4 linked regions of the Coturnix japonica genome follow. The protein of the gene in region 2 binds, or shares a complex with, the protein of the main gene of each other region. Links are inferred from orthologs where the notes say so. Each region holds a gene or a part of one and is shown on either strand. Other genes may lie near its edges.

The links.
Region 1: the proteins of EZH2 (region 2) and AEBP2 are in contact, whole or in part, in a cryo-EM structure (PDB 8VMI), measured with the Homo sapiens proteins. The link is inferred for Coturnix japonica from reciprocal best matches to the Homo sapiens genes EZH2 and AEBP2. Residues at the interface, in NP_001190176.1 of Homo sapiens: Ser76, Leu77, Arg78, Gly79, Thr80, Thr100, Asn102, Ala103, Val104, Ala105, Ser619, Asp620, Val621, Ala622, Ile739, Glu742, Met743, Glu744, Ile745, Pro746; in NP_001107648.1 of Homo sapiens: Lys382, Leu383, Lys384, Asn385, Arg387, Arg388, Ser390, Leu391, Pro392, His395, Asp399, Ala400, Gln401, Asp404, Ala405, Arg407, His408, Ile411, Cys412, Leu415.
Region 3: the proteins of EZH2 (region 2) and JARID2 are in contact, whole or in part, in a cryo-EM structure (PDB 8VNZ), measured with the Homo sapiens proteins. The link is inferred for Coturnix japonica from reciprocal best matches to the Homo sapiens genes EZH2 and JARID2. Residues at the interface, in NP_001190176.1 of Homo sapiens: Arg78, Ile131, Pro132, Tyr133, Asp136, Ile146, Lys156, Val157, Asp160, Arg161; in NP_004964.2 of Homo sapiens: Arg108, Pro109, Arg110, Leu111, Ala113, Gln114, Arg115, Lys116, Thr154.
Region 4: the proteins of EZH2 (region 2) and EED are in contact, whole or in part, in a cryo-EM structure (PDB 8VMI), measured with the Homo sapiens proteins. The link is inferred for Coturnix japonica from reciprocal best matches to the Homo sapiens genes EZH2 and EED. Residues at the interface, in NP_001190176.1 of Homo sapiens: Arg34, Glu37, Val38, Lys39, Met41, Phe42, Ser43, Asn45, Arg46, Ile49, Arg52, Thr53, Ile55, Leu56, Asn57, Glu59, Trp60, Lys61, Arg63, Arg64, Ile65, Gln66, Pro67, Val68, His69, Ile70, Leu71, Glu82, Cys83, Ser84; in NP_003788.2 of Homo sapiens: Val85, Asn86, Ser87, Leu88, Lys89, Glu90, Asp91, Trp103, His104, Ser105, Lys106, Glu107, Asp109, Pro110, Val112, Arg120, Thr122, Leu123, Tyr124, Glu125, Gln129, Gly130, Glu131, Ile132, Arg133, Leu134, Leu135, Gln136, Ser137, Tyr138.

The regions. Positions count from the first base shown.
Region 1 is NC_029516.1:59,163,946-59,168,207, forward strand, and holds the start of AEBP2 (zinc finger protein AEBP2), read left to right. Parts: upstream 1-1,440; 5' UTR 1,441-1,586; coding exon 1,587-2,215; intron 2,216-4,262. UniProt on the Homo sapiens protein: Acts as an accessory subunit for the core Polycomb repressive complex 2 (PRC2), which mediates histone H3K27 (H3K27me3) trimethylation on chromatin leading to transcriptional repression of the affected target gene.
Region 2 is NC_029517.1:75,450,778-75,454,923, reverse strand, and holds the start of EZH2 (histone-lysine N-methyltransferase EZH2), read left to right. Parts: upstream 1-1,298; 5' UTR 1,299-1,348; coding exon 1,349-1,407; intron 1,408-1,883; exon of another isoform or gene 1,884-2,095; intron 2,096-4,146. UniProt on the Homo sapiens protein: Polycomb group (PcG) protein. Catalytic subunit of the PRC2/EED-EZH2 complex, which methylates 'Lys-9' (H3K9me) and 'Lys-27' (H3K27me) of histone H3, leading to transcriptional repression of the affected target gene.
Region 3 is NC_029517.1:67,726,269-67,729,828, reverse strand, and holds part of JARID2 (protein Jumonji), read left to right. Parts: intron 1-359; coding exon 360-452; intron 453-1,116; coding exon 1,117-1,235; intron 1,236-1,375; coding exon 1,376-1,446; intron 1,447-2,246; coding exon 2,247-2,361; intron 2,362-3,560.
Region 4 is NC_029516.1:170,402,389-170,405,948, forward strand, and holds part of EED (polycomb protein EED), read left to right. Parts: intron 1-2,117; coding exon 2,118-2,210; intron 2,211-2,991; coding exon 2,992-3,057; intron 3,058-3,560. UniProt on the Homo sapiens protein: Polycomb group (PcG) protein. Component of the PRC2/EED-EZH2 complex, which methylates 'Lys-9' and 'Lys-27' of histone H3, leading to transcriptional repression of the affected target gene.

The sequences.
Region 1 (4,262 bases), on a different chromosome or scaffold from region 2:
TTTTTACTGCTGTTTGCCTCACAGATCGGCTTATGCTCCTCTGCAGGTTAAAGATGTCATTTGTTTGCTCTCAAAGACGAGTGCAACGTCACATCCCTTTGCTCCAAGGCTGCGGTGCTCCCGCAGCACTGTGGCATTCTGTGCTGGCATCGCTCACTGCAGGCTGCTGGTGTTGCTGCGAACAGATACATGCGTGCAGATTGATGGGCGGGCAGCCAGCCCTGCTTGTGCTGATGTAGGGCTCAGGAGCACCCTCCCCAGATTTTAATCCTCTGTGGCTAACTTTTCCTGTTCCTCTGTGGCAACGCTAGATGAGCCTGCTATGACTTGAGGAGGTGGTAGTCTTCCTGTTGCACAGAGAACAAAGTCTTTCTGGACTGAGCTGTGGTTTAGTTTTGTCATCCGCTCATAAGCCAAACCATCCCCAGTTCACGATTTTTTTCTTATTAAATTTGGCAAGTTCAGTAAAAAATTTCATCTCCATGTCTGGGAGGTGGAACTACATGATCCTTGAGGTCCCTTCCAACCCGGGTCATTCTGTGATTCTATGAGGTGGGTACTTCCCTGTTCTATGGAAAATCCCCATCCCACACGGATTGCTGATCATTTCCATGTGACAGTTCACTGAAGGTATTCTCCATGTCCGTACAGACAAGGCAAAATAAAGCACGATCTGCCTCGAGTAAACTTCATCCCCTTTTCTTCCAATATTAAAATGACTTTAATTGTCATTATTAATTTAATAGTTTTTTCTGAAGTCTCGTATGTGATTGGTGGTCGTTCTGCTCATCTTTCTCTCTTCCCCATCTATTCTTCTTCAGATGGCAACGTTCCCAACTCAGCCAATTTAGCAGCCCTCATTCCTCCAAACCCTGGCCTGAGTTTATGAGGAAAATATTAACCAACTGCCTCGGTTTTAGCACATTTAACTCAGGTTTTACTTCCACTTCGGGCAGTGACGTGCGTTTTGCATTCAGCCTTGGCCACGCCACAGCCTGGAAGCTTCTTACAGCCAACGGAGGTGTGAGGCCACACTTCAGACGCTCTCCTGATGCCAGTGCCACTGAAAACCTCCTTCTGTCCCATTGTGTCCCAGCCCAGCTCTCTCTTTTAGCGATTCACACAGGGCACACTCACACTCTGACCCACTCCTTGTGGAGGGGCCTCTCTCCCTTCCCCTGAGGAGACACGCCGTTCCTCCCATCTTGGCTCAGCGTTTCTCTTCACCCCTGATCCCGCTGCCGCCCCGTGACCGCGAGTGTCGCCTCAGAGGCGGTTCGGCGTTAACGGCCGCCTCGCACCCCCCGATCCCCGGTTCCCGGTTCCTCGTCCCGCGCTCCGCCTCGCGGAAGCTTTTTGTCCCCGGGCTCGTTCCGTAGCGCGTGCGGCGGTGGCGGTTCGTGCCCCTCCTCTTTGCGGCTCGCGCCGCCGCGCGATTGTGCGGCTGAGCGGGGCGAGGGCGGGGGGAGCGCGGCCGCGCGCACACACGAACCGGGGCACGCGCCTACCGGCCGCGCGCACGGCCCGGCTCGGCTCGATTCGGCCCCGTTCGGCTTCGGCTCGGCTCGCAGCGACTCGCAGGCGCCATGGCGGCCGCTCGCAGCGACATGGCGGAGCCGGAGGGGCTGCTTCCCGGCGAGGCGGCGGCCGCTGCGGCTGAGGAAGAGGAGGAGGCGGCGGCCGTTGCTGCGGTCGTCGCCGGGGTCGGCTCCTCGTCGTCGCCTCCGTCCTCGGCGGCGGAGACGGAGTCGCTGCTGCTGCTGAACGGCGAGGCGGAGAGCATGTCGGAGCCCAGCCCGGAGAGCGCCAGCCAGGCCGGGGACGGGGAGGACGAAGACGAGGAGGAGGAGGAGGAAGAGGAGGAGGAGGGCGGCGAGGAGGAGGAGAGCAGCCTGGTGGGCAGCAGCAGCACGAGCAGCGGCTGCTGCAGCGACGAGACCCGCTCGCTCAGCCCCGGCGGCAGCAGCGAGGCCGACGCCAAGGAGGAGCCCAAGGGCCCGCGGGGCGGCCAGGAGGGCGGGCTGGGCCGCGGCGGCGGCGGCGGCGGGAGCAGCTCCAGCAGCGTGTCCAGCGGCGGCGACGAGGGCTACGGCACCGGCGGCGGCGGCGGCAGCAGCGGCAGCAGCAGCTGCAGCGCCACGTCGGGGGGGCGGCGGGGCAGCCTGGAGATGTCCTCGGACGGGGAACCGCTGAGCCGCATGGACTCAGAGGACAGGTCAGTGCCCGGTGCGGGAGGCCCGCGGGCGCCATGTCCTGGGGCCTCGCCCCGCCCGAGGGCCGCGGGGCTGTCAGGCCGGCGGATGGGGGGCTGCGTGCTCCGGGCGGGGGCGGTCGGCCGCGCCGCGCCCTGGGGCCGCTCCGGTTCCGGAGGGATGCCGCTGCGATACCGTAGTCGTACCGCGCCTGCTGTGCCGTGGTCGCTCCGTACCTGCGGGTGTACGTGCTGCGGGCGGCGAGCTGAGGAAACCGCCGAACACAAGGGAAAAATCCCACCTTGCTGAAAGGAGCGAGGGAACGGCCCTTCGCCCGGGCTGAGCTGTGTTGTGGATGAAGCCGAGCCCAGCCGTGTGAGACTTAGTCATTTTTGGATGAATGGTTTAATGCCAAATGTGGATGATTTCTGTAGTTGCCGGCTTGAGGCTCGAGGGACGGCACAGCCCAGTTCCCAGGTCGCGTTTAGCACAGAGGTTGGGCACTTCTAGGAGCACGGCTTGCCTAGTGGTTTTCTTGGGGGTATGTAATACAGCCTAATGGAAAATAGGATGTGGGGGGAAAAAAGAGTGGAATTTGTCGGTTCTTTTACTGCTAAGTGCTTCAGAATAGTTTTAGAAACTTCTTTTATTCTTTGCCTTTTTAGGTTTGGCTTTAAGAAAGCCTTGGGCTTTGCGGTAGTTGGTACAAAAATAATAATTGTTCCTTTTTTGAAGATAGTTTTGCTATTGAGCGTAAAGATGATCAGTTTTGGTCCAGGTTACATGCTTTGTTGATGTGTTAGGTTAAATTTGAGTAGATGGGGAAACGCCCGTGTTGCAGGAGCGTGGCATTTCTAGGTCCAGCCTCACGTGTTAAATGAAACCCTCGTGAGTCAGTTCCCCAAACCATGTGCTGGGTCTGAAAGTCTTAGGAAAAATTAAAAACGAATTTTAAATCCATGCTTTTCATTTCCTCCTGACTTCTGAGTCTTGAGGACTTGGGGGATTTTTTTCGTTCCTTCAGACTTGCTGTGAAATAAGAAGGTGGCGAGTTTTTCTTTCTTTTTCTTTCTTTCTCTCTGTTTTCACGTGGATTTTTACATGAAATCACATAAGTGTGGGAGTAGATTTCTGGGGAAACAACAGGTATGTGGTGGAGGTTTAGGGTCGTCACTTCTTGTTTTCTACCAAATGAAACTCTGCACTGCAGCTTGATCTCTTGTGAGTCTGTCTCAATTTGTAGGTTAAGGAAATAACAGGAATCAGTTACAGGGGTTTTCTGACAGTGCAGCCCCGTTACGTCTTGCTCACACACTTCAGAGCTGCTGTACTAGTTTCTTTCTCTGTCATTGTTTGCAGGCTCCTCTTGTTATAGTGGCACAAATCAAATCTGTGTGTGCTCTTCGTTGCTCCTTTCCAGTACCTTTGGAGCAGAGTCAGTTGCAGGAGCCTTTTGTGTTCAGTAGTTTTAAATTAGGACTGTGTTTTTGGTTTTTATCTTGCAAAGGTTTTGTCTTCAGTGGCCACGCTGAAAACGTAGAGATACTGAGAAGCAATTTTGTATGGTAATTTCATAGCCTGCTGCTTGAGTTGAGTAGGAAAAGAACCACGCCACGCAAAGTGCCATTTGTTATTTCTGGTGATAGAAAAGCTCATTTTGATGACATTCCTTGCTGCCTTGGGGTAGACAGCAAAAACAGTGATGCTACACGTAGTCCAACAGGTCCCTTGGCCTATCAGTGGAAATTATTGCTGCCCCTTAGAAGCCAGCTGGAACATGATGTGCGTCCTTAGGGTGATCAGCTGGGCAGGCAGTTGCCAGTGGTAGGGGAGGCATGGAAAAGCCTCAAGAGTGTTCACAATGGGATGGTAGAGTACCTGGGAGAACCTGGGAGCAGGTCAGATTTACACGATGTAACTATGACAGATTGATATCTGCTCAGCGATGTTCTCTGTAAAACAGTATCTTGTACAGCACTCTGATGTCTACTTTCTGCCTGTGTCCTGAATGGAGACTCCAGTTTTGTCACCGAAGACCTAAGGAAGTTGACATCGACTTGTCTTGTGGAC
Region 2 (4,146 bases):
ATCACTTCTAGAACTGAAATGCAGCATGGAAAGATTGTTTTCACAGAGTGCAAAACAGAAAGAGTAGTTCCATTCAAAATGTGTTTTATTTTCTAGTAAGCATTAGCTTCACGTACAGCAGGTGAATAACTTTCTGTGCAAGACAAAAACTGAAGCGTGTACTGCAATTGAGTTCAGTGTTGTCTCCACACATCTTTTTTTCACCTTGTGACTGACTATAGTGCTTGCTTAAAGTTACGCTATGCTTATTTAGCACAGGAGTTGTATATATATATATATATATATATATAGACTAAGATAAGATCTCATGAAGTGCAATTCTAACAATAAAAAAACTACAAGTTCCAAGCTGTGAAGAGACTGGGTAGCCATTTTGGTGGTGCCAGCCATCTTGGAGCAGAATAGATTTAAATAGCTGAATTTCAAGAAATGACTGACATTTTGCAAAGTTGATAGTTTTAACGTAATCTTGGAAAAGGTCATCTACTCTAGTAGAATCAAAGAAAGAGTATGACAATATATCGTTTCGTGACATGCAAACATAAGAGGAAATAATTTCTGTTCCACATTAAAAGAACTCTGATCCTTGTTTGGCCTATAATGCAGCTGAAAGATTTGGGCATGAAGCTGTGTCAATGATCTTCTCTCATAGGATTTTTATCATTCAGAACCTCATTATGGTGGACAGTGCTAATTTTTGGGCTTCACACAAAGATGAGACAAGGTAGTTGAATGTATCAGAAGTGATTTGCAAGGGAAGGTGAGAAACACTGGTAACAGACAGTAAGGGTACAAGGCTCACAATCCATTCTACCTCAGAAGTAGTGCTGAACACAGGAGGCTTAGGAAGGAGAGATGGTGACAAGCATACATGGAAGTTTCCCACCATGATCTTATCTTGGCAATTTTGTTTTTCCAGTCAACAAAGAAGGGCTGCAGTGGCCAAACAGTGAGACAAAAGAAGGCTAAGGGGGAATGAATCCTTGAGGTTTAAAGTACCTCCTTGTCAACGTGACTGAGTCGTAGAATAAAAACGAGGGAAAATGGTAGCAACCTTAGGCTAGAGACAGTGTATCACTAGCAACAGGATCCCAGCCTTATGCAGAATGGACACCTTGCTGTTGCTGTGATTTACCATCACTGCCAAGATGGGACACAATGGGATTTTGACAGTTAAGAATCCATGCTGGTTACAGAACAGCAAGGCACCAAAATTCGTGAGCAACAGCGTGAAACAAAAGGACAGATACGTGCTAGGTTTGGGTGCGCAAAGGTCAGATGACACGGCAGGAGGATGCATCACGTACTCTGGTTAGTGACTCAGCCAGCCAACGCTCGGCACGGCGCAATGCCGGGAAGGAGAGAGCCCGCCGCGGAAGCGACGGGCAGGGAGCGGGCCGTGCTGAGGTAAGCAGCTCCTGCCAACAACACCCCCAGTCCCCGCCTGGATCTTCCCGCCTGGTCGCAGACGCGCCTCTCCCAGTTCTCCGTCCTGTCCCGTCCCGTCCCGTCCCGTCCCCTCCCCTCTCTGCAGCGCGCGGAAGCAGCAGCACGACTGTTAAAACCGTTACAGCTCCCACTTTCGAACTGATTCAAACTCAGCAGCACTGAGACGCGAGGCCCCTCCCCGCTCCCGTCGGACCCCTCGCCTCCCTCCCCTCCCCAGTCCCCGTGAGGCGGCGGCCGGAGCACCTCAAACTCCAGACCCGCTGCCCGCTCAGCTACACGGACGGGCAAAGAGGGCACAAAACCGCCAGCCCGGGCGGCAGCGCGAGAACAAAGAGCTCCCCCACCCCTCCTTCCCGCCAGCACGTGGGGCACGGACCCCGCCCCTCTCCCCGCCCCTCTCCGCCCCTGATTGGCTCGGGGCGCTCCGTCCGCGTCCGTCCAATCGGGGCGGCGCTCGGCTCTCGCCAATGAACGTGTTACCGATTGGGCCACTGTATTTGGCGCTCGGTCCGGGAGGGTGAATCCGGCAGCCGGAGGCAGGAGGGAAGAAGAGTCGGGGAGCGAAGCGGCTGTGGTGGCGGTGGCACGAGATTGGAGCGAGGGGACGGGTGAGCTGGACGGCAGCGGCAGCAGCACCACAACCACCGTACGGGCTGCGGGCCGGGAGCAGTTATTTATAACCGACTCCCTTTGTTATGGGGGGTGGGGAGGCAGACAGGGAGGGCGCGACCGCCTCGGTCCCGAGCAGCGCGCCGCGTCGCGCTTGAAGGAACGGGATGGGGTGGGGGGCGGCAGCGAGATTCGCGCCCGCTCTGCAGCCGTTGACAGCGGAGGGAGCGGCGCGGAGCCGACGGTGCCTTTTGTCTGAGTTGGCTCTGTCCATCCTGGCCGCGCCGCGCTCGGCGGAGCGGAGCCTTGGGCGGGGGGGGCGACTGGCGCCGTGCGGGAGAAAGAGCGGGTAGGAGCCGGCTGTTTCCTCTCCTCCCCGTTCCTGCCGGCCTCCTGTGGTGGCGGCTGCCTCTGGCACGGTTTCGCTGAGGGGTCGGCGGGGGGATCCGTGTGTTAAACGTACGCAAGGTGAGGTCTCGGTGAGTCCGAAACGCGAAGACAAGTCCGTTCTGTCCGCCTCAGCCCCCTCCGAGAGAGAAGCACGGTGCAGAAGTTGTTACGCGGCGGTAGCCCCCGCCCTGGGGTGCGAGTAGGTCCGCGGCAGCCCCATGTGCCCGCGGTGTCCCGGAAGCGGAGCGTTCCCACTCTCGCCCTCGCACGTTGCCGTCCCGCCGGCCAGTCTGCGACGGGGCTCTCCAGCCCCCGGCGAGTTTCACGGGCACCGAGTGCGGGAGAGCGGGGACGGCGCGGGAGTCAATCTGTCCGGCCAACTTCCTCGTCGGGAAGGGCGCTGCTCGGCTAACCGGCCCTCCAGAGTTCGGAGGGAGCTGGAACTGCTGAGTTGGAGACCTAATGTCGCAAAGCGCGGGTGTGTGGGGCGATCTCTGAAATCGGCATGTTTGGGGAGGTGTGAAAGGGACGGAGTTGTGCTGGAGCAACAGGCGTGTGTGTGATCAGACAAAGGTGATGAAATCAATGTATTGTAGCGCAACGCATGTGTATCTGGTGTTAAGTACGAACATCCAAAAATTATTAGGAATGGGCAGAAAGAAAAGCAGTCTCAGCATAATGTAGCAAAAATGGTATAATGAACCTGTACCTGGCTCAAGATACTTTTTCAAAGTTATGAAACAGTATATTTCATTGGAACTAGGGCCTTGGTTTTTTTCTCTGTTTGGTTTTTTGGTTTTGTTTTTGTTTGGTCTGTTTATTTGTTGCAGGATAGGTTTGTCTTTGTGCAAGTCGAGCAATTGCAGATCCAACCGTTCAGTACTTCAGCGAGACTTTACTGGTATTTTTAGTACACGATAAACTTCTAAACGGAGATTTCCTCATATACAAGTCCTTTCTCTCTTTTTCTCTTTTTCCTCTTTCCCCCTACCCCACCCCCCTTTTTTTCCATTATTTTTTAATTTATTATTATTATTTTTAGGGCTTGGCACATTCCGGTTCTTTGTGACTTGTAAAAATTAAAAGGTCATTCTTTGTTTGTCCCCAGTGTCTGTATCAAATTGAGAGTTCAGGGAATGTTTAATTGTGATAACAATAACGCATCTTCAGAAGGGTGAGTATTACTTGTCCACAGTGTATGGTAGCTATCCTTGCTTTATATTAGATCATAATAATATAGATAAGGCTTACAGTGTCTTTCAGAAAACACGGTTCTAGTACTTTAGGAGGTATTATTCAAAAGTTTTATGCAATAAAATACTTTTTTAGACATTCTAAAATATTACTCTGAAAGTGACATACACTGAAAATACTTATTGGCAGAAGAACATTAAAAGTCTTTGCTCAGTTTAAAATCAGATAAAGCAATAGTCTATAAGCTTAGGCTGGAGACTAGAAATTCAAAATTTTTTGCTTTCCACATGGTATTTTCTTCTACCTAGAATTTTCAATGAGTTGAAATATCGTGGGTGACTTTGTTGGAAATATGCCTTCTAATGGGTTTATATTTGTTCTATGATATGGCATTTGTAGGTGAGATGTAAATGTACTTCAGCTTATCTACAAGGAAACTTTGGCTTAGCAAGTAGGGAATTCTTGTAGTACATTAGTGAGTGTACTAATTGTATATATGGAGAG
Region 3 (3,560 bases), about 7.7 Mb from region 2:
TGGGTACCGGTTCATTTGCAACATGTCATAGACTACGAGGTCATGTATCCGGCTGCTGTAGTTTTCAAACACAGAATGCTGTGTTGGATGAAGCAGTGCACGTGGCTTTCTGTGAACGCTCAGCTGGTCTTTGAAAGGGTTGGTTTGACCGTACTGTTTTGAGAGGTGAAATGTCATTTTAAGGTGATGAAACTTCTCTAAGGTTTGAGAAATCTAATAAGAAAATGTCACATGCTTCCCGAAGATATTTTCTTCATTTGTGATTAGAAGTTTAAGCATGTAAGGAAAAGAGTTAGGCCAGGGGAGATGGGGACACCTAGTTTTATTTTCACTTTTAATTTTATTTTCTATTTCCACAGGGTAGGTCCGTTTCTTTAACAACCTTCTACCGAACAGCAAGAAACATCATGAACATGTGCTTCACAAAGGAGCCTACAGTAGCTGAAGTAGAGGTGAGACCAGCACAAGGGGTAGTAAATGTTTTGTGTTGTGGAGGTGGAGCATAGAGGTTCATCTTTATTGATGTTTAGAAACTACCATTAGTGGTTTAATGTGGGGGATGTCTGATGTGGGGAAAAAAAATAATTCATTATGTGTAGGTGTGATAGTGATTCTTCCCTTCGGTTTTTTAAACGTTTTTCATAAAGGTATTGAACTGCGAGAAAGACTTTTTAGTGTACTTTGCAATGAAGCACAGGAGCAAGTGGGGCTAATTCCTGTCTTCACAATCCACCAGTGCTTTTTAGTATTTGCAATCATGGAATCATTAAGGTTGGAAAAGAACTCCAAGATCATCTAGTCCAGCTGTCAATCCATCCTCACCATGCCCACTAAACCACATCCCTCAGTGCCACATCTACACATTTCTTGAACATCTCCAGGGATGGTGATTCCTCCACTTCTCTGGGCAGCTCGTTCCAATGCTTGTCTCCTTCTGAGACAAATTTTTTCCTAATATCCAACATGAACCTGTCCTGGCACAACTTGAGGCCATTACCTCTTGTCCTTATTTCTAAACGGTGTTTTATGTTGAGTTACACTGAGGTGATTTCTGGGACTTAAATTTTAATGGGAAGTACCTTGTTCAAAACCCATCACCACTTTCTCTCCCAACAGCAAGAATATTGGCGGTTAGTGGAACAGAAAGATAGCCATGTAGCAGTGCATTGTGGAAAAGTAGATACCAACACCCATGGGAGCGGCTTTCCTGTGGGGAAATCTGAACCATTTTCTAGGTAAGGTCACCGAATCTGTGCCGCCTGCCCCATTTGCGTAACCAGGTGTGGGAACTTGCTGCCAGTGGGGCAGCACAGCGCTGGCTTGACAGCAGGGGCATGGTGCTGACATATGTTTCCCTCTGGGTCCCTTTTAACAGGCATGGGTGGAACCTCACAGTCCTTCCTAATAATACAGGATCCATCCTGCGACATCTTGGTGCTGTGCCTGGTAAGTAGGATTCTTTTTCTGTGTTTGTCATGTGTGCCCTCTAAATGTGGTAGTGTAGTCATCAAAGCCTTCTCTCGCTCTGTCTAGTCCTTTTGTTGAGTAGCTGCCTAGGTAGAGATGCAGTTGTAAGTAGCAGCTCATACCTGTGGGATGGAAATCAGGTTTTAGATATAGACTTAATGAATGGTTAAGACCATGCACCTGGGAGGAGCTGGTTGTGCTTGCAGCATCACTGTCTGTTGTTGTCAGTACATCAGTGTTCTTGTTTTGTGTCAGGGTGATGAAAGACATACAGCTTTCTTGGTGCAAACCTGGACAAATGTTGGGTAAAGCTGCACACAGGTTTTTTTTTTGTAAATGAATTGTTGCAAGTGTCACAAGCTCCAGCCGCATCTGTGTCATTAGAAACATTAGCTGAAAGCAAAATCCAGTCACCTGGATTTTGTGCCTGGACCGTGCCAGTTAGGAAAGAGGATTTATGTTAACGTGTATATATGCACTGACACTGAGAGGCAGTCTTCTGTGATCAATAGCATTGAGCTTGGGTTATGAATATTTGTAAATAAACCAAAGGATAAAATTTTTTGCAGCTCTTAGAAAATAAATATGTTCATCTGCTAGATATTTCAGTAGTGGGAAATGCTGGTGTCATTAAATAAATTATTCTTTGTGAATTATTCACTCTGATAGGCAGACTGCAAAAAGCTCACAGGTAGAAGAATTGCAACTGAAATGCCCTCAAACTGTCTTTTAATTAGAAATTGCGATTACTCAAAACTCATTTTCAATCTCTGTTTCAGGAGTGACAATTCCTTGGCTAAATATTGGCATGGTCTTTTCTACCTCATGCTGGTCTCGAGACCAAAATCACCTTCCATACATTGACTACTTACACACTGGTGCTGATTGCATTTGGTAGGTATTACCGTGTTTGTTTTCATGCTCACTGCAGTGGCTCTCTGTAGGCTGGTGTTAACAGCAGTTTTTCTAGTACCTTTTGTGTGAATGAATTAACATTCAACTAAACTTCTACCTAGAAGTTTAGTCTTCACAATGGCAGGTCTAATGAAAAACATAGTATAAACTAAGCATTAAAAACCTTCTTTCTGGGAAGAAAAGTTTTGGTTTATCTTCTGTGATCTGTTCTGAGATACTTAGCAATGAACTGTTTCTGCTTGAGATAGGGTAGGAAGTTTTCATGAGATGGAAACCAGCACAACAGCTGGTCAGGGCAGGCTTCCCTTAGGCTGACAGAGAGATACTTGTCCAAGCTTGCTCCGTATTATCATTGGGAAAGTGACTGAATTCATACTCTGACTAAATAGCCACCATTTTCTTATTTTACATATCAACTCTGTATCTACCAGATTCCTAATATTTTCTATTGTGATTTTTTTCTTTCTTTATCATATGATAATCATTTTTAATTATGATTCCACACATCGTTCTAGTGCCTAGATGCTGGCCATTAGTACTCAGGTGTTAGCTACGTTTCATATGTTGGAGACACTTAAAACAAATGGACTTAGCACTGAGCTTACAAATGGTTATGAACATGGTGATCCTTTCCGAATTCAATGCGTATGTGCTGCTACAGATGATGATGAATTAAATTACAATGGAAGTACAACAGCTGATGGAGGAATTAGTGGAAGCAGGTGCTGCCGGCATGTCACGTGCCTTTCTGTGACATTCCGATGATAATGGTGTTATTACCCAAGAGGATCATCAGTGAGAACAGTGAACGATAAGCAGTATAACTGTTTCTTGACCTCAGAAAATCAATTAAATGGAGAACAAAAGTTACTGAAATGCTGACTCCCACCGAAGGTGAGAAGCTGATTGCCTTTCAACAGTTTCAGCAGTTCTCGAGAACCCCGAACAATGGGAGCCTTCGGCTCATTGAGCAATGTGACAGGAGAAGGTCTGGAAGGCCTGAAGTGTATGTGCTGCCCTGCTGCCACACTGCTTGCAGAGTCAGCAAAGGCCTTTGCATCCAGGAGTCCCCATGGAGTGGCAATGTCAGCCATTCTTTGTTCATGCGCTAAGTGTGTACTTGTTCACCTTTAATGCCTGTGCTTCTCAGCTGGTGCTGATGTCAAGGGTGCTGACCC
Region 4 (3,560 bases), on a different chromosome or scaffold from region 2:
CAGAACAATGCCAGTTTGCCCTACCCTTCCCTCTTGTTCAGGGTGTGGTTGAATAGCTGTTAGCTGTTGAATGGAGTATCTCAGCTTTTACTTTCTATCCCTGGACCTGGGAATTGGATTCTAGTTTGTTGTCGAGTAAGGGAGAAGTAGCTAAAACCACTTCTAGTGGTAGTTTGCTTCCCCTTCAGGAACCAGGAATGCATGTGTGGTCAGTTTGTGCCTCACTAGCAGTGTGGGTGATGATATTTTAAAATGGGCTCATGTACTTGCAGGTGATTATTTTGTGTTGGCTTAGTGTTTATTTCGCTGCCTTCTGTCTAAAAACAGGCCTAACCTTATTTTGTCTGGCCGAAGTTGAGCTGCTATTTAGTGAGTGAGGGCAGAACCAACTGCTGATTATCTGTTTACCTTTATAGCAACTGTAGGATCTGTTTCTTTGCCTTCTTTCTGGTGCATGAAGAACCCAAGTACCTTGAGTCCATGCCTTTTATTTATACCAGGGTCAAAGTGGCTTTTCACCATTCTACTGTTATATCTGGGTCAAACTGTCTATAAAGCCAGGAGTCAGGTTGTTGTGACAGATCCAGCCTCTCAGGATAACTAACATGCAGCACCTAATAGTGTAATGTTTTGAAAACCTAGTAAGCAGCAGGTACAAAGATTAAAACAGTTATCAGTGTTATCAAAATAGCACGTGCTGTTTCTGACCAGTGAGGATGATGGTAGTTTAAATGAGGTAAGCATAACTTCAGGCAGATACCCTGGTGTTTTCCTAATTCTGTGTCTCTTAATTTAATTTTAACGCTGTACTAGTGATGAATACCTCCTCTTTTTTCTTCTGTACTGGGGTTACTAATAACCTTGCTACTTTTCCCACGCTCCCCATCAAACAGCTACCTGTTCTTTAATGTTACAGTGGCTAATGCTTAGAGTTCAACTTCAAACATGCTTTCTTAATTTGTATTCAGCTTTGAAAATTGTGCCTCTCCTTATGAGATGCAGGAGGGCCTTCACTCAAAGCTATTTTTTTCACTTGGCTCTTCTAGCTGTCCCCATTGAGGTAACAACAGATACTGCATTTCCCAGTAAATATGGCCTAGTTCAAATTCTTTCTAACTTCCTTTTTAGCAAGTCTTTTTTGTTTTGTTTTGTTTTTGAGTAGAATTGAATTCCTCACCCCATACCCCCTCCTCAAATTTGTTTTGTGGTTCCTGTATGGGTCAGAGCTGCCAGGGCTAATATTTCTCATGTTGTCTCTGAAGCACTGCCATTTGAAGGCTGCTTAACAGCCATCATGAGACACTTCCTTCCTGCCTGTACTGTCCCAGACAGTCCCCTGTGGGGAGGCACTTTAATGAACATTATTCTTGCTGAAAACATCCTGTCAGAACAGGCCAAAATACTGTTATCAATTAATAACAAGCACCACCATATTCATTGTGATTTGTAAACATATCTGCTTCTTTCCCCCCTCCCTCCCCCTTAAACTGATGTAAAATGTTATAAAAATAATACTTGACATTCTTCTGATAACTGTTTGTGAAGGAGATCTGAAAACATTTTGTAGACATGAACTTTGCAGCAGCTTTGTGATATGCTGGAGTTAATTCATTGTGCCTGTGATAGAGTTGCAAGACCTAACTGTGCTGTAATAGTGAAATGTAACCCTTCTCCACCCTTACACCAGTATAATTCTTCTCAATCCTAACAGATCTCCTTTGTGATGTTGTAAATCCCTGTGTGAAAGTAACTACAGCAATATAAAGTGCTTATAGACGTGACCTTAGGAGGTTTCCTTGTTGAAAGATGCAAAGCAGAGTAAGCAGTAGTTGGGCCAACTTCTGTTCTCAGCTGTGAGGCAACAGTTCTTCCCTTAGAATTTAAAACTTTGTTGAGAGGAAAGAAATACTGCTTTATCCTCTGTGAAGACAGCCAAATTAGAATGTGATGTTACAAAACTGTTCTTCTTAACTGTTCGCTATATGAAATTATATTGGGTGTGAACCTAGTAGTTTGGGGGGAAAACATAACAATTTGTTTCCCATTACAGCTGAATTTCACAGAAATAATGTGTTTGTGAGCTTTATTTTTTTTCTAACCTTGCTTTACATCTGCAGGAGGACCATGGTCAGCCTTTGTTTGGAGTCCAGTTTAACTGGCACAGTAAAGAAGGCGATCCTCTTGTTTTTGCCACTGTAGGCAGCAACAGAGTAAGTAACTTGTTTTCAACCTCCTGTTGCTTTTCTTTGCATTCATTTTTTTCAATGAAACCCCTTACCTGTGTATAGTACTAACATACGGTGACTTGCATAGAAAGCCGTATTTATGAGGTATGTAGTGTCTGTTATCTTGGAGATGTTCTGCCTCTGAATTACAGTATGATGCCATGCCTTAGCTGCTTGGGAATTAGCCTCTGTGGTAATTAAAATTTTGCTAGTAACATGAACATATGTTAAAGAAGACAGGTGCATAAATGTATCTTCTCACTGAAATTATTCTTCTTAGATGTTACTGTTTCTAGAAGGCTTAATTGATAGCCTGATTTTATAGGCTTTTTCTGAACAAGACTCTACATTGTTTTAGTCTTCAAGTTCCTCCTATGGAAGTGTTCCACATAAACAAGAAGTCTCTCATTTCCAGGTTTGTCCAACCTGACAAAAGTGCTAAACTAAAATTAACTGTATATCAAATGCTCATGTAAAGACTAGGTCTGGTTAGAGGTGATGAAGTAACTAGTTATAAGTAGAGAATATTCAAAGAGTATATTTTAATATCTGGGAAGGGCTGCTAGCAAGTCCTGGAATGCTGCTTTACTAAAACTGTTGGGCACATTGTTTTATTAAACCCACTGTTAGATAAACAGGTGAGATGAGAGCTAAACCATAGAAGCATACTGCCATTCCACAAACAGCACAGTGCACAGGTGTATTTGGTTTTCTCTTGTACTATCACAAGTAAGTAACAATCCCTCTCACTTTTTTCTTTCCCCAGGTTACTTTATATGAATGCCACTCCCAAGGAGAAATCCGCCTGTTACAGTCCTATGTGGATGCTGATGTATCCTTTTAAGTAAAAACACACTTGCTTGATTCCTCTTCATCATAATAGTGAAGGCTTTGTAGGAAAAAGAACACAGAGGCTTTTCTGTGATTTAATACCCTGCTCATGTGGCACATTCCTCCTATTGGGTCTTAGCCTTCTTTCGTCTTTCCCACATCCTCGAGTCTTTCGTATTGAAATAATATCAGAAATGCAGACTCATGGAACGTGCTGTCTTAAAGTATTTGAAAACTGATTCTCTGTCAGTTCAGTCTTCCCAACACCAATATTTGTGCAGAGTTTCACATTCCATGTTCTACAGTGGTCTCAGCTCTCTGAATTGGAACTGGATTTCAAGCCTAAGAATTATGTTTCATGCTCTGAAGTGGTAATAACTTCTGTTGATCAGTTGCAGTTCACAGGTTACTGATTTCTGACTGGGTCTTGATTCATCCTCATTTTTATTCCCAGTCTTTTGATATTTTGGAGAAAGATTGAAAAGTGATGCCAAGAGAAAGGTG